3 linked regions of the Xenopus tropicalis genome follow. The protein of the gene in region 1 purifies or fractionates together with the protein of each later gene. This does not show direct contact. Links are inferred from orthologs where the notes say so. Each region holds a gene or a part of one and is shown on either strand. Other genes may lie near its edges.

Evidence for each region.
Region 2: the proteins of mcrip2 (region 1) and atxn2 purify together in Homo sapiens (co-immunoprecipitation; 3 studies listed by BioGRID and IntAct, with this or other methods). This does not show direct contact. The link is inferred for Xenopus tropicalis from reciprocal best matches to the Homo sapiens genes MCRIP2 and ATXN2.
Region 3: the proteins of mcrip2 (region 1) and ddx6 purify together in Homo sapiens (co-immunoprecipitation; 5 studies listed by BioGRID and IntAct, with this or other methods). This does not show direct contact. The link is inferred for Xenopus tropicalis from reciprocal best matches to the Homo sapiens genes MCRIP2 and DDX6.

The regions. Positions count from the first base shown.
Region 1 is NC_030685.2:21,688,311-21,694,534, reverse strand, and holds the start of mcrip2 (protein FAM195A), read left to right. Parts: upstream 1-2,269; 5' UTR 2,270-2,308; coding exon 2,309-2,360; intron 2,361-3,122; coding exon 3,123-3,219; intron 3,220-6,224.
Region 2 is NC_030677.2:163,126,643-163,132,421, forward strand, and holds part of atxn2 (ataxin-2), read left to right. Parts: intron 1-732; coding exon 733-921; intron 922-2,591; coding exon 2,592-2,693; intron 2,694-5,338; coding exon 5,339-5,406; intron 5,407-5,779. UniProt on the Homo sapiens protein: Involved in EGFR trafficking, acting as negative regulator of endocytic EGFR internalization at the plasma membrane.
Region 3 is NC_030683.2:80,842,160-80,847,938, reverse strand, and holds part of ddx6 (probable ATP-dependent RNA helicase ddx6), read left to right. Parts: intron 1-167; 5' UTR 168-444; coding exon 445-641; intron 642-1,191; coding exon 1,192-1,255; intron 1,256-1,681; coding exon 1,682-1,786; intron 1,787-1,884; coding exon 1,885-2,014; intron 2,015-2,968; coding exon 2,969-3,115; intron 3,116-3,260; coding exon 3,261-3,355; intron 3,356-3,917; coding exon 3,918-4,040; intron 4,041-5,680; coding exon 5,681-5,779.

The DNA of each region.
Region 1 (6,224 bases):
GGCAAATAAAATACACTTATTAGCCAGGTGCCATATCTGTAGTAATAAGTGACTTTTTACTACAGATATACTGTACCATGACCTAGATGAATAAGAATCTTCACAAACATATAGCCAGGTGCCATTTCCCAGTGAAGTGACTGAGAAACAGTTTGCCTGGGCCATAGCATAGCCCTCACCAAAAGGTAATGTGGAAGTCCACATTCTGTTCTCTTTAGAGTGAGCCCTAGGCCGGATGATTTCAGACCATTTGAATGAAAAAGGCTAACAATCAGGATGGTTTGACTCAGACAGGCAATAAGAATATCATAGCCTTCCATTCTAGAGGAACTGTAGCAGAACCAAAGGCAGATCCCTGACCTAGAATGTGTGCCACAGGGCTCTGATGCAATACTTACAGCTTCACTGCAACACTGCTTTATTCTCTCTTATCAGCTCTCTGCACTCATAGATAAGTTAAGTGGCATATCCCATGGGCCACCATTAGGGGAGTACAGGGGGTAATGTAGTGAGGGGCCCTGTGGCAAAAGGAGACCCCATGATGGAAAAGCTTTATTCACAGGTCAAGAAATAAGCCAGGGCTTGTGGCAAAGTGGGCAAAGTTTGGAAGGCCCACGTGCAGAGTTTGGCATAACTGGGATGTAGCTGGTGGAGATGAGGGATGGAGTGTGGCATAATTGGGAAGTGGTCAGGGTGAATCAGGAGTGTGAATCATGCATACAAGTTGTTGATAGGCCAGGGGGGCAGGTAAATAATGACTAATAACTGGGGCCCTCTGCTAATGTAGCACTGATGGTGACCTGTATATACAGTTCTAGTGCTAGTTCTGCTGCATATATACAGGATCCTTTATAGTTACACCCCATCCTTTTATATAATATTTGTTTTATTGGTGTGATGCAAATAAGCACTTTGCAGTACAAACACCAGTGTATCAGTATATGGCATCACTTGGCACAGTATTTAGTGATGGGCATGGTACCAGGTACCTATCTGGTTCTATGTATTATTCCCATATGTTGCTTTATTGTGTATCCAGGTTTGCCACCATGCGAAATCATGGAGCCCATACCTGTCAACTCCCCTGGGCTCACCCCCTGCACTCCCATGATTATATGCCATTCCCCCATTTTCTTACAATTTCTTACTGCATGTGCAGTGAGCATTCAGTTACATGGAAAGGGCCCTTACAAAAGGCCACGGCCCCAACCAAATAGGCCACATACATATTTTTTATCAACTTATTCCCAGCTAACTGCATTAGGAAACTAGCATCTCTGGGGGCCCTATGCTATTTAGAATGTGCCTCCCCCTCTAGGGAGTCAGCGTTATAAGCCCACCTGGGCTCCCTGTGTTATAGGCTCTACCTATTAAGTAGAAGGTGGATTCAATGTAAAAAATAATGTTCACTCACCAACAGAACAACCATGACCCATTACACTCAAACCTGCTCCATAATCCACCCAAAACCTGTCCATCCACTCTGCAAACCCATTTTAGCAGTCAGTAGGGCAATTGTGTCCACCAAGGCTCCACTGCTGTTATGGGGCCAGAGATGGACCAAGTAGTATCTGTTCCCATTGCAATAATACTTGCCCCCCAACTCATGCTCATATGCCCTCAGGCATAGTCAGCCCCACTTCATTACTAAGTCCCCTATGCAGCTCTTCCCTTACTTAGTCCTTCCATTTGAACCCCACCCCACCCAGTGGCACCCAAAGCATGTGCCTGTGAATACCCCTGAAAGGACTCCCACCTGTCCTCCCATTGCACCCATCTGTTGTACAGTACTGCAGCCCGTATGATAACAAATGTAATGTAACAATTCATGCCAGTACCAAACTTGGGCACCAGTCAGGCCTCATCAAATGCTAGAAGAAACCAACTGGAGACAAGGAGATTCAAGCTCTTTATAGAACAGCCTACATATCAGTTATAGTTCAGCAGGCTCAGCCCAGACTACAGTACAGTAACAGCGAGTCTATTGTCAGGTTCGGTAAAAGCCGAGACAGCACATGAACGGCTGCTCCTCACTCACTAACAGAGACAGCCCTTGGCTACTTGCCGCTAGAGGTGCAGACTGTACAGACTTCGCTGCCCAAACATTACACAATACATTAGATAACGAGTCAGACAGCTCTGTGCCAAGTGCTGCGTTCTCTTTAAGAGATTGAGGGGGGGCGTGTCCCGCAGCCCATGCCTTCTTAAAGAGCCAGCTGGTCCAGTCAAAAGTCACTGCCACTCTTCTGATCCCAGTGTTATCAGGGGCATCCGATTCTGCTATTGCCCCAGTCATCGCACTGCTGCCATGTACACCATAACCAGAGGGCCCAGCAAGCTAACCACCCAGAGGAGAACAGGTAGGGGCTGTCCGTGCGATTCCTAACGCTGCTGCGTCTCAATTGCATAACCATCATCTGTAGAATAACCTACAGGTACAGGGAAATTGCACGTGTGTAACCTTATGGCATGCTGATAAACTACAATTCCCGACATCCTCCCATATCCTTTGGCTGATAGATAGGAATACTGCTGGGAGTTGTTGTTAGACATATGAAAGGCCATCAGTTAGCTGGATCGCTTTCTGCTTGCACTGGGACACCGTGCAATCTGCCCAGGCAGCTCCCATGCCTTTCTACTGCCCCTCTGAAGGGTTAATAGCATGCTAAGGGGAGATCGTACCAGGGCCCAGATATGTGTCTGCCATTCTATTATAGGCTGTGCGTCCCTGAGCCCTAACATTGTACTCAATGCGCACATCCTACAGCCTGCCTGGGTTCCCTATACACTGTGCGGCGCACATATGCGTCAATCCCACCCGTGTATAATGCAGCCAGCCTTGGCTTTACGAGTATGTGAAAAATATTATATACGCACAGGTTCATTATGTGGGTGCTGCTGTTAAACTACAAGACTACAATCCCCAGCATGCTTTAGCACTAGGCGCAATGGTTGGGGATTCTGGGAATTCTAGTTCTGCTGCAGCTCCTTCTCAAGGAGAGCGCTATGAGGCTCTGAGAGTCAGCGGCACTGGGCGTTTATTCATACAGGGTATAACAAGACTCTCTATGGCGTTACTGCCACTGCCTTATCTGACTACAACCCATGTATGTCCTTCCCAGGCCCCAAGCAGCAGATTGACAGCAAACTGCAAGAACTGAAGAACAAGCAGCAGCTTCTCATCCCCAATACACCTAACGGCTGGGACTCCCCTCCAAGGTCAGCTAACTCTTCATTGCCATAGTGTCATGGTGTGAATGTTGGGTGCGGAGCTGCCATGGTGCTGCCCCCCCACCTCTCCTCACGGTACTGTACTGCTCCTTACGCTGCCGCTGCGTGACCTTGTGCAGAGGTGACCATGTGCCCGGTGTCATTGTCACATGACCGGCTTGGAAGGGAGGTGTGTTTGTGAGGGGCGGGGCCAGACGGGTGGGTGTGATACGGGGCTGTTTAACCCATTACTATCTCGACGCGCTGTATTTTGATCGCCGCTTACAGCTATTTTCTAGATTAGCATGTGTACCGCAAGTGAGACGCTACTGATTAAGGTTTCTTCTACAGGAAGTGGGAACCTATAGCTGTCACTGCCCCACAGTCACCACAACCCCAAACTGCTACTGAGGATTGCGGCATGGCGAGAGGTGTAGTTCAGCAATGGTCAAAAAGCCATAGGTTGCCCTTATCTGTTCTGTAGCAGTGCTGTAAAACTATAGATCTCTGCAGGACTGCAAGGGCAAAGGGTATTAGTCATGGGGGTCCCTCAACCAGGGCGATTGTAGCTAAGAGGATGGAGGGGTCTAGCAAGACTAGTTATCCAATGTGGGGCCCACACTGGGCTAAATATCTAGGGGGACAAATGGCCTGCAAAAAAGTTTCAGTACAGTAAATGCAGGCCTGTAGGACACTAGTTATTGTACTGGGCAGCTATAATGGCATACAGGTGATTCTGCAATCAGTGTCACCCGTTTATCTCAAGGTGGAAGCTACTCCATTTTTTTTTTTAAACTTTTTAGTTTGCTAGTGATTGCAAAATAATTAGTCAGGTTAGCAGTGCACAAAAGTACCCCTGCATTATGGACTAATGTCACAACAAAGAGAGGGGTTTGTTTATACAGAGCTCAAGTATTTCTAGCTAAAACAACTCAATTATAGGTAAGATAGTAAGTGTGAAAGCAAGATAATACATTACTGCTTTATAATAGAAACCTTTAATAAATAATAGATTTTTTCAATGAAAAGAATAATCAGAATGTATTATTATATCATTAACATTTATTTATAAAGTGCCAACATATCCCGCAGCGCTGTACAATAAGTGGGTTACATACATTGGACATACAGAGTAACATATAAAGCAATCAATAACCGATACAAGAGGTGAAGAGGGCCCTGTCCAAAAGAGCTTACACGCTAAAAAGTTATAGCTTCCTTTCTGTTGGTTTTGTTGTTTATGTAGGTATAATGTCTTATTAAATAATGGGAAGGGAGCATGCTGTGGCAGGTATCTTGAACTACAGCTCCCAGCATCCTCCTGACAACCCAATGCAATCATTTTTTTTTCTTTTAGCTGTAGTCAGTTATGATATTATTTTGTCAGTGATTTGTGGTGATTTTTCAGCCCTGTATCTCTGTGTATTATGTGCTGGCCCGCCCCGCTACCTGCCTGGTGTCCGAGGTTCTGATTGCTATGAATGGCATGTTTTGGTCTGCAGGACAAACCTACATTATTTCTGTGGGGGAGGAGAATTTCTCTCAGATTTGTAAGAGAACAGGGCAGGGTACATTGTGTTGTGCAGCACCTTGGGTGTGTGCCCAGTGCCAGTCATTGATATACCTGAGGGCTATGCAACGCACGGGGATTTTGGGTGCCACTTGGACTGAGGCCGAGTAGCCGTGCTTTTAAGCACTTCACGTGCCATTAGGGTGCTAATTTGATGTATCCCTGACATGAAGTTATTTGACATGGCCGCTTCCCTAAAGTGGTCTGACCCTGTTAGTGACCTTCTGTGTGTCCTTGAGATGGCTCCGCCCCCTCTGCCTCATGGTTTCATAGGGATTGAACTTTGACCTCATGTTTTGAGATATTTTACTTTAGAGCCAATTGTACGAGTTGGCTCCATTACGGTGACTCCTCTCAGTGCCACAGACTGGGATTTCTAGTCAGGGAGGTAAATTCCTGTTGGAAGATGAGTTAAATCACATGACAAAAATCCAGTTTTTTTTTTTTTTTTAGGGTAAAATTACACATTTATCACAAGGTATGTTACCAGCTACCTGGATGACCCAGCCTTAAAGGAGTACTTTACCTTTAAATTACCTTTAGTGTGAAATTCTGAGTTTGCAATTGGTCTTCATTTTTTATAAATTTTTCATACATTTAGCTTTTTATTCAGCAGTTTCCAGCTTGGTATTTGAGCAGCTATCTGGGTGCTAGGATCTTATTGCCATAGCAATCAGGCAGTGGTTTGAATAACAGACTGGAATAAGAATACGATGGGGACTGAATAGAAGGATAAGTAATACAAGATAACAATAATAATACAATTGTTGCCTCAAAGAGCCATCAATTTTTTTTTTGCCTGCTGGCAGGGTCGGACTGGGGGCCCCACACCCCCCAAGGTGCCTCCTCCGGCCATGTCCCCTGCAGGAGCCCCCACCGCGCACCCCTAAATTCCCCCCCACAGGGGCCCCTGTCTGACGTCCTCCCCTAAACACATATGTGAAACGTGTCAGGGGAGGACATCGGAGGCCAGAGGAAGCAGCAATAGGGTCGGGTCCGCTGGGGCCCACCAGGGCTCGGGGCCATCGGGTTTTTCCCGGCGGCCCAGTCCAACCCTGCCTGCTGGGGTTACTCCCATCTGAAAGCTGGAAAGAAGTAAAAGATAAAGCCAAATTACTCAGAAACTAGAAAGAATAAATAATGAAGACCATTGCATTTGTGTGACATTGGTGTCAGTCATAGCCTGTCACATGTAGGGTGCCTGATGTCACTTCAGTGGGTGACGCCAGTTCCACCGGAAGTGATGTTACATGTGCCTGCGATTGCCATGGGAACCCTCACCCCACAGCTCTGCCGGTGGATTTGGCCAGGAAGCATCTGGCTCCTGCGGAGGGGTTTTATTCTTTTTTTTATCTTTATTATCAATTGTATATCCACCCAATGGTAACCCCAGGCACAGGCCCTCTGCTGCCTCGTATATATATATAGGAGTGCTCAGAAAGCA
Region 2 (5,779 bases), on another chromosome or scaffold:
TGATATTAAATTAGGGTGCTTTAGGTGCCAGACATGCATATCCTGCCGTTATGACACCTGGTGAGACTTTTACACACCCACACACGGGACAGAGATTTAAAATACGGCATCGGATTACGTGTACCACAACCCATGTAATTTACCTTGTCACATGCCCGTGTGGGCTTTCGTACGTTGGTACAGGTTGCTACTCCAACGTGAATCCTTTTGGATTAGAAAACTTGATACACTCACCAAGGGGGCTAAATGAGTATTGTTCTCTGCATTGTTTTTTGCCAGTTAGGTGACTTTAAGTGACTTGAGGTAGTATTATGCAGGGAAGTTTAGTAGTCATTGTGCCTCATACCTGTGTGAATAGGGATTTCCCGCACCCCTTTGATGACATGGTTAATGTCTGGGGAGGGGGGTGGGGCCGGTTGGCTGACATGTGACCAGTGGGTGGGATTAATCTTGTATATAAAGTTTTATTGTATGTAATTTATATTAAGGGTATAACATCGTGAACAAGGTCTTAGACCATGACCGAAACGTTGATGTAAAGTTTAACATTTGGAATTGGAGTGCGCACAATCCTTGGAATATTGTATACATGGAACAACCGTTTTGCAGCACCCAGAGAAACTATGTGAAATATGAGTGATATGGGAGTGCGGACTATTCTGTAAATTTTATATATATATATATATATATATATATATATATTTTTTTTTTTTTTTTTTTTCCTTTCTACAGTTCAAAGGTTATCTCCAAAGACACACCGGCCGAGGTCTCCAAGGCTAGGAAGTCATGCACCAGGTTCAAATGTGTCATCACCCCAGCCTAGTACAGTACCTCCCGAGTCGGTTTCTATGCCAGTGCCTGCCGCATCCCCTACACCTGCTAGCCCTGCATCTAACAGAGCCGTTACTCCCTCTTGTGAAGGTACATTGTTGACATTTTACTATTTTATTTCTAGAAATTAAACTTTCTTGTTTAAAAACTTTTCTTGAACCAATTCTGTAAAATCTTTTAGGGTCAGTAGAAGACTGAAATGATGATGGGTCTGTTAGCTTAAAGACTACTGTGGGCCACGCACGGGCAAAATAAATTTGTGAATGTTAGAGTTCGCCATTTGATAAATATGCCCCTAAGGGTGATGGCATATGGTAGAGATTTGTTGCCTGCAGTAGTGCAGATTTAACCTTGGGCGACAAATCTTAACCTTAGATTGCCACAAGTAACAGGCTTTTCTTGCAGCAATCTTGACTTAATCATCTGGCTTTATATGAAGGGAGGCAGTTGGCCAAAGAAATGTTTGTTTCACTTGCAATCTGATCATAACCTTCATATCACCTCCCACATGGTAACTATAACCTCATTGTAACAATAGGTGTGGACTAAAGGTGGCCATATACAGGCAGATTTAAGCTGCTAATTCTAGACCTTTAGATCGTTTCGCCAGTTTATCTGCCCATGTATGGGGACCCCCGATAGCCCTACCTAACTGATATCTGGCTGAAAATTGGCCAGGTGTCGACTGGGCAGGTTTGATCCAAAGATCGAATTGGCCCAATATTGCCTACCTTAGGTGGGCATATTGGGGGGGAAAAGATCTTATCATATATGTCCACCTTAAGGATATGCAGAAAAAGCAATTGACCGGCACAACAAGTGTGATGCAAGCGGGGCTCCTGCGTGTTTATTTAAGAATAACAGCAATGTTTTGGGGGCGTACCCCTTCGTATCCTTAAGGATATGGGCACACAGACCTTTTGCTGAACTTCTCTTGGCCTGCGTTTTTTTCTGCAGGCTGAGAAGAGGAACAGCTCCCTTACGTATCTTTGTTTACTTGCACTTAGTACAGTTTCCATTTGAGTGCAAGTACGTGGAGTGGAGGTCAGCCTAAAAATGCCTGCTTTAGTGGTTTTCCAGCCTGACCACTCTATTTTACCTGGACTTGAGTGGAAGATGAACAGAGCTGCGTAAAGAGAACTGTAGTTTGTTCATAAGTAGGTAAAGCTAAATAGAATATGATCTGATCATGTTTGTGGGAGCAAAAATTACATTTCATAGGAAATGATCCATGTGTAGGGCTTTAAGATGAAGATAAACCTATTCCAATGTAAAACTTAATATGCAGTTTTTGACAATTTCTGGTCCTTATTTGTTGACGGTTAATGTCAGCGTATAGCCAGATTTAAAGAAGGTTATTAGTGTTAATAGCCCCAGACCGTAGTCATCTTTGTTCCTCCCATATGGTATATTGTCATTGTCTATCAACTAGCCCTGTAGCAGGCAGCTTAGCTACAGCTGCAATTATAAAGAATCAAATCTGTGATTTAGCCACAAGTTAGACATCTTTTAGCCTGGCATCTGCTTGTTGCTGTGAACAGTGACATATCAGAGGAAAAGCTAGTAGGCACACACTCTGTGAATGTCTGAGATATTGGATGATGCCAGAGAAAAGCTGTGTCAAGACTGCTCAGTTCTGTTGCTCATGCGCATTGGATCATTTCAAAAGCTGAGTTTGTATTCTGGTAGGTCGTGGTTTGTACGTTAGTTTTATCATGCAGAGGAGATTATAACCCTGTACTCTGACATTCCCTTTGTAGCTAAGGATTCAAGACTGCAAGATCAGAGGCAAAATTCCCCAGCTGCTTGCAGAGAAAATAGTAAACAAAGTGAATCTAGTTGTAGTAAAACTGAAAACAAAGGTAGGTTCAGTATGCTGTCTCATTGATTGGTTTGAATGTTCATAAGCAAGATAAGTGGGAAGTCGTAGTCAAATTCTTATGGTTATTGTTTGCATTCTTTATTATGTATTGTTTGTTTGGGCCTCCCCTCTTAAATTAGGAAAGTTTATTTCTTACATAAAAACATACACAGTGCATATTAACATCCAAAATTCTGGCTGAGATGTGAGTCAAAATTGTGTGCCAACAAACTTCACATTAATAGAACAATCTTTTTCCATTTACATAATAAAAATGTGCAGCTAAGAGGGATTTACCTCCGTCATCCTGCTGATCCCTCACTTCTGCACAGGTTTCCTTATATGATGTCATGCATAGTATTGGCAGCAGACTTAACTCCTATTGGCTGTGTTTCCTGTCAAATCGAAAATAACAGCATATCACAAATCTAACGCACGGAGTTAGTTTACCTATGTCATATCGAGGGAGAAATTAACCAATGACCTTTCAGATTATGCAGCTGGTTAGAGTGCACAAGCAACCAATGAATTGATCCAACAGGAAAAAAGTAAGGGCAAATCCTGAATGTGGTGATGTAAACGTATAGGAAATGTCAGGTTCAAAACAGGCCACGCCCATCCCTTTAGAAAACTGGTCAGACACCCAAGGACTGATTTAACAGGTATTTTATGGAAAATGGATTTTCTTCTAATACGCTGAGAGCATTGGTGGTGGTTTAATAATAAGATTTGAACATTGAAGGCGAGCAACACCTTTAAGAGTACACTAAATCTGTAAATTTTTAAGTTGTTTTTTCTGAATACTGTACAGTAGGATTCCCCAACATTTTTTACGCATGAGCCACACACAGATGCAAAAAGTGTTGGCAAACAACACAAGCATGAAAAAAGTTCATTGGAGATGTCAATAAGGGCTGTGATTGGCTATTTGGTTGCCCTATGTGGACGGCTAGCCTGTTAGATGCTCTGCTTGGAGTACAACTGTGTCTCTGTACTTCCAAAACGTGCAGCCAAGCCACAAATTTTTAATTTATACTTTAAGGCCACAGGGAGCAACATGAAAGGGGTGGCGAGCAACATGTTGCTCACAAGACACTTCGTTGGGATCATTGCTGTACAGGTATGGGAACGGTTATCCAGAAAGCTCTGAACCACTGGAAGTCTCTCTCTTATAGACTGCATTTGAATCTAATAATTCAAATTTTTTTTTTTTTGTCTATTTTAATAATAAAATGGTACCTTGGGAATCTCAACTAAAATATAATAAGCTATAAGAGATAATAATCCTTATTGGGGGCAAAACAATCCTATTGTGTTTAATGTTTAAATTTATTTTTGGGTTGACTAAAGGTATAACGATAAGTTTCCATACCTGTACTGAGTTCAAACCCTAATTTGGGTATTCTGATTTGAGGAAAATTGCGTTGGTTGTGGAAAAAACTTGTCATGTTAAGAATTTTCCTTTAGCGAAAGAGCTCTAAAATAAAAAAGCACAACGTGAAATTTTTTTTTTTTTTAGCAGATGTCTTGGGGGACATGAGCTGAAAATGAAGTTGCATTTAAAATTTAAAAGGGATCTATAGAAAAAATTAAAATTTTAAGCCTCACCTGACTGAAATACTATGCTTCTAATCAATTAAAAATTCTGTTCTGTTTCTGAAATTACTAAGTTACTCTTCAACCTCTCCTCTCATCATTTGTCTCCATTCTCTCTCTTCATGCAGTAGGTTGTCTGGTTTTGATTTAACAGTGGAATAAACCTACTTGTATTATAATGTAGCCACTTTATACCTCCTTAATATTGGAGTTATTACATTACACAGATATGGGATCTGTTATCTGGAAACCCAGATATTCAGAAAGTTACAAATTATGGGAAGGCCATTTTCCATAGACTCCATTTGAATGAAATAAATCAAAATTTAAAAGATTTACCCTTTCTCTGTTATAATAAACCTGTACCTTGTATAATATATAATTAATACTTATTGGGGCAAAACAATCCTATTGGGTTTAATGTTTAAATGATTCAATTTTAAATGTTACTGTTCCTTTATGTCTAGTAAAAAATAATAATTTATGGCAATATAATGTACTGTGCCCCTGCAGTGGTAAAAACTGTTTTGCTTCATGACTATAGTTTATTAAAAAAAAAAAGAAATTGCCATGAAGGCAGCTATTCAAGCACATGATACATAGTAAATAAGCTGTGCAGAAGCAGAATCCCACTGTATACTACAGAGCTTATCTGGTATGTGCTATGTAACCTGTGTCTTTACTCCTTTTCCAGCTTGAATGGCTGCCTCCATGGCTAACCAGCAGCTTATTTATATAAACTAAAGTTTCTAAAGCAAAGGCACTAGTTGTACCAGTGCAGTCCAACAGTACATTATATTTTAATTACTGAAAAACACTTTCATTTTTTGGTGTTTCTGTTCCTTAAAGGTATGGAGATCCAAATTATGGAAAGACCCCTTATACAGAATGCTTGGGACATGGAGCTTTCTGGATAACAGGTCACATACTAGTAGTCCATGTAGAATCTATTTCACTAACCATTTAATAACATTTACAGAGACTTTGAACATGTTTATATTTCCCTCCCTACTTAAATTAATTAACTTAGATTTTCTTGTTTTAAACTAGTATCTCCAATGGCTTCCGAACAAAGGAAACAGCTTGATGATTTAAAGAAATTTAAAAATGATTTTAGGGTAAGTTTCATGGACTTTTTTTTTTTTTTTTTGTACAATTTTATATCTCAAAGGTTATGCTGCATTCAGCACATATGCACACCATCTTGGACCCTATTTCACAACTGTCTTTGTCTTTAATGTAGAATTGAGAGGCACTTACTATGAGATGCTCATCCTCAAATTATCTTTTTCACTTTTATTATTATTGCTAAGTTAAGCTACAGACCCTGGAAAATCTCTAAAGCTGTGTTTCTAAACATTGCTGTATAAAACTCCCAAGGCCTGTAGGGCTGCTTTACATGGGAATTCCTACGCTTCCATATTCTTCTGTCACTATATAAATTTAAGGCATATTGAGTTATTTCCAACTCTACTCTGCAGAATTTTAAGG
Region 3 (5,779 bases), on another chromosome or scaffold:
TAGCTTTTTACAGTCTGCAAAGTTGTGTTTGAGACTCCCAGTGTCTCTTGGTTTCAAGCTTGTGGAAGTGTTTCCCACTATCCATAAATGCATAGTAAATAGAACCTGGCAACAGGGCTTCCTCATTTAAGGTATATTAATAATTTAATTTTTTTTTTCTATTCTAGATTGACTTGAAGGAACGGACTTTATTCTTAGTTTTGGGCTTTTTTTAATAAAGGAAATTGATTTTGTGCACCAGAGCAAGTGATTTCACTGTTGACAGACTTTAAGGACAAGCACTTGCTTGTGTTGCAATAACAAAGACTCATATATTGAGCAAGACTTTATCTCTTCATTTCGAAGAGTCAAATAAACTTATTACAGTCTCTGTACTGACTTTAAACCTTGTGAAGCTGAAAAGACACACCTTCAAAGGGACAATTTAATTAAATACAAAACAAAATGAGCACCGCCAGAACCGAGAACCCTGTTTTAATGGGTATGTCCAGCCAGAATGGGCAGCTAAGAGGCCCATTGAAACCCAGTGCAGGGCCTGGAGGTGGGGGGACACAGACACAACAAATAAACCAGCTGAAAAATGCCAGCACAATCAACAGTGGCAGTCAGCAGCAAGCACAGAGCATGAGCAGCGTTATAAAGTGAGTATACTCTACCTTTGTTTTATCACCACTTATAAAAACCTTATTTGGGCCTCTGGTTTATCCATGTTTTATTTTTAAGAAAACAAAACATGCTATTCATAATAATGGAAGTGTCCTGAGATGTGTATTTGTAATGTCTAGTCTTTTGTACAATTGCTTAGTCATCTTGGAATCTTCTGCAGGTTTGTGTAGTAGCACTTTGTAGTATATGGCGCTTGTTATTAAAATTGAACTGCATAGTTATTACAGACATGCATTTACAACTGCTGACATGACTTGCCTTTAAATAGTGGCCAGAAGTGGTCTTCAAAGCAAAACTCTATATTGGTTTTGTCTGCACCCTTTTCATACATTGGGCCACAAATCCATTACATCAAATGTCTGTGGTCAAATATGCTCTGGCCATAATAAGCACATAATAGCACAGTCTATTGTTAGGGTAATCTACAAATGTTCATGTATAGGAATAACTTATAACGCAAATATGTGCCATCATACATTTTACTGATGTTTAATAATACATTTGAACTATTTTGTTTACTTGCAGACCTGGTGATGACTGGAAGAAGACATTAAAACTCCCTCCAAAAGACCTTAGAATCAAGACTTCGGTGAGATGCAAAAGATTTTTTTTTTTTTTAAGCTAGCATCCTTTATAACACAAAAAGGGTACAAACTTGTCAGTACCTCACATAGAATAAATTTGCTTTTAACCAATCTGGATGATTTTGTACTGTTTTTCTGAATAATTCCCTTGCACCAGCCAACTGCTCCACCACTTTCATTTGTAGTATGGCAGACTATTGGCAATTAGGCGAAGGTGACCAGCAAAGCTGGAATTGGCTACCCACATCCTAGTTTGTGCATCTTCACAGAGATTGTTACGAGCAGTGGGCATATTCTAACAAAGATTCTATTGGGAGTACCAGTAAAGTTTTTCAACCATAGGTTGTTTGTAAGTGTCCCTCTGGAGGGAAATCTGGGATCTAAATCATATATACAAAATAAACTAATCTTTTCCTAAACCTGTCACCCAGGATGTCACCTCCACAAAAGGAAATGAATTTGAAGATTACTGTTTAAAAAGAGAGCTGCTCATGGGGATATTTGAAATGGGATGGGAGAAACCATCTCCAATACAGGTTGGTATAAAATGGTCTTCTAAAAGTAACCAGTCTGTTAAACATTCGCACAGTTCTGAGATATATGTATCATAATTTTTTTTTTTTTTTTTTTTTAGGAGGAGAGCATTCCCATTGCATTGTCCGGTAGGGATATCTTGGCTAGAGCAAAAAATGGAACTGGCAAGAGTGGAGCCTACCTCATTCCCTTACTTGAACGGCTAGACCTAAAGAAGGACTGTATACAAGGCAAGTTTCGAAGGGAAAGTATCTTCTAGTGAAAAAACTGGTGATGTTGCCTATAGCAACCAGTCAGTAATTAGATTTGAACAGTCACCTGCAACTTAATGACCAATTTCAGTGCGATCCAGCAAATTATCATAAGGTTAGTGGGCACCATACAATTGCACATCTAGCATTTTTTCATCCAGCATATCTGGTCCAGTCAGAAAAAAAGGTCAGATGGTTTAAAAAATTTTCTTTTGCCCATTGTCCAATTGTTTATAGGACCAAGCAGGGTAGTTTTCATAGCTTCAACTAGACAATATTGCTTGAAATGGTCATTTAGTTGGACAAATTGTGCTTTCAAATGATAGTTTCAGGATAAGCTGATCCTACAATAACGAAAAGATCTATTAAAAATCATAACGTGTATAGCAAGCTTCAGAAAACATAAGCAAAGATCTGATTTCTTGCTATGGGCAGCATCACCAGTGAAGTTTGTCTCCAGTGTCAATAAATAACGCCCCCTTAGTCTTGAAACCGTTCTAGTAGGCCTCTTTCCCTTCTGGGATAAAAGGCCCCAACCACCAAGCAGTCACACGCGCAATGTCAGAAGTGGGAACCCTCTCCTGTTTACTTTCAGTTCTGCAACTTTTACATGAGGTTAGGATGCCACTTTATTGTGGTTCCACACAAGAACTTGTTGACCAGTGATTAACACATCAGAGTTTTACTGGTTTGTCTTGCCACAATTTTTACTGCCCATTTCTCTGTAAGCTAACTGGCACCTGCACCACTTAGAGGGTACCTTAAGTTTACTTGTGAAGGAACCAAATTAATCCCATGAGATGACTTGATAGGTTAGACAATTATAATGTATACATGAAGACAGTTTGGTGCTGTTGAGGCTATAGATGCTAAAGTCACTCATGCATGTTACAATTTTAATGTGTTCTATGTTTCCATCTCTTCTCCATGTAGCAATGGTGATTGTTCCTACTCGAGAACTGGCACTACAGGTCAGTCAGATTTGCATCCAGGTCAGCAAGCACATGGGCGGGGTCAAAGTCATGGCGACAACAGGGGGCACAAATCTGAGAGATGATATAATGAGGCTTGATGATACAGGTAAAGAAGTTTGAATAACTTTCAGAATGACTTTATTGCAAGTAGATAACTGCTTTTAGCTTTAAATATTTTTTTGCATAGAACAAAGAGTCTATAAAATGCATATAATGAAATGTAATAACATGAGTGTTTTCCCCTTCTCTAGTACATGTAGTAATAGCAACTCCTGGCAGGATTCTGGATCTCATTAAAAAAGGTGTGGCTAAAGTAGACCATATCCAGATGATCGTGTTGGATGAGGTAAAGCATTTAATCTATAGTGTTACAATTAGACTGCTCCGGTGTTTTTCACAGGCTATTTTAGCACTCGCTCTTTTTTTTTTTTTTTTTTTTTTTTTAATATACATTTTAAAGTCTGTGCCCTCCTTGCCTGCAGTCATAGAAATATTTTAGCAGTGCTGGTATTACTGTACACCACACATTGTATTTGCAGAAGCACAGGAGATTCCACTGATCCTAGCAACAATATAGTAATTTGAATAATTGACTTATAGATGATTAATAATTACAATAAAAATCTGGCTGCTCTGTCAAACAAGTAAGATTTTTTTTTTTTAATTGAAGTTTTAGCTTCAGGCTCCAGACTAAGATTTAAAGCTGTTTGTCTAGAAGTGTTACAGCTATTACTTTTTCATAAAGGACAATTTGTATCTAAATGTAAAAGTATTCACATATAAATGTGTCAAATAGTGCTTTTTTTTTTTTTTAATTTTGTTACTTTCATGTTTATAAATGACTATTTTAGTTATGGTAAATTATAAATGTTAACTATTTTCTGCCAACTTTTTTTTTTTTTTTGTAGGCAGACAAACTACTGTCTCAGGATTTTGTGCAAATAATGGAGGATATAATTATCACGCTACCTAAAAACAGACAGATTCTACTTTACTCAGCCACATTTCCCCTCAGTGTTCAGAAGTTTATGGCAAGTACAGAACTCTATTATTTTGGTTCAGATTCATGTTTGCAACTTGTCCTTTGTGTGACTTGTTAGTATATATAGTTAATGGGTCACTCTTCCAGTGAATAAATCCCCAAAAAAATGAAGTTGTTTACCTATAGAACATGTTTACTAGTCAGTTGCACAGAGATCTGTTCTCAGAGTCCAGGCCGAATTGCAAGATGGGAGTTACTGTTTCCCATAGGTAACGGACTTTTTCATAAACAAATGAACAGTGACTAAGCTTGCCAAAGTCCTGCCCTTCATTTTTGCACTGTCTTTCTGAAGAAATCTGCGCTCTGAATTCCAGTGGTAGTTTTGTTTTACTATGAACTCTGCTGCTAGAAAGGATGAAACCTATTCAGTAGTACATATAAACAATTCTGCCTTATAACATGGGGTTGCTGCTGGAATTCAAGTGCAGATTTCTTTAGAGAGAACAGGTGGCTAATCCGAATATATGTCTTAAAGCACCCAAGCCACAAGATAAGTATTTAATTGACTTTAAAGTAAGAGATGGAAGATGTAGCGAAGGTATGCACTAAATAAAAACAAAGCAGAGGCATGTCTAGAACAAAAAACCTACTTAGGAGGAAGGCATGTCTTCTGATCAAACATGGCCAATAAGAGCAGATCTGTTTGCTGTTCTAATATTTGTATAACTGAGCTCTAAAATCTGATGGCCATTATGTATACATGTGCTTACCAGCAACCTGCCTCTTGGCCTCCTCAACTTTGTTTGTAATGTACAATCAACTCAAAAAATATTGAAGCCATGATTGCAGAGATCAAAGTTTTTTAGTTTTGAAAATCTGGTTTACGCATGTGGAGTTAGGAGTCCCCAAGCCCTCCACGTGCAGTAATCTTAATCTATGCCTGGATTGAGATATTTGGGTTACATGACCCTACCAAATGTCATCGCTGACTCTCCTATCTTTGCCCATTCCAGTGGAAACATTTAGATGTTGCCATAGTGACGTCGCCAAGCAAGCAGATCTTGGTGTATGGGGCCACCTTAAGAAAATCAAGGCTTGCTTGAGACTCCTCCAGTTACATGGGAGTAAGAAAAAACAGGTTACCTAAAAGCATTTCTAGCAGTAAAATCCATGGCTGTTAAACTTCTTGCAGTCAGGGTTGGACTGGGGGGTGAAGGGCCCACCGGTGCTCCCACCCCAGGGGCCCCCCTAACCCTCTCGCAGGGCCCCCCCACCCGACATCATCCCCCAAACGCATAATTTTAACACGGCAGGGGGAGCACTGGCAAGGGTCGGGTCTGGGCTGCCAGGGCCCACCGGGATTTTTCCCGGTGGCCCAGTCTGGCCCTGCTTGCAGTAGAAACTTCTACCTTCTACTTTGTATGTCTGTATACTTTTGAGTAGACTTAACTTTATGGGGACTTTAATATATTGACTCTTTATAATGCTGTTACATTGAAGTCTGCAGGAAAGCTCAGGTGTAGCACAGTCTGAGCCAGTGGCCACCACCTGAATTTTAAACCACCGCTACATTAGGTGCTGGTCAGATCCCAGCTACAAATCTTGATTCAAGCAGTTTTTTGGCAATTTAAGAATTTTGTTCCTATTTTTCTATGCTACATGCTAATTCCATAACAATTTTTATTATAGACTTCCCATTTGCAAAAACCCTATGAGATTAACCTGATGGAGGAATTAACGCTGAAGGGAGTAACGCAATATTATGCCTATGTGACTGAACGGCAGAAA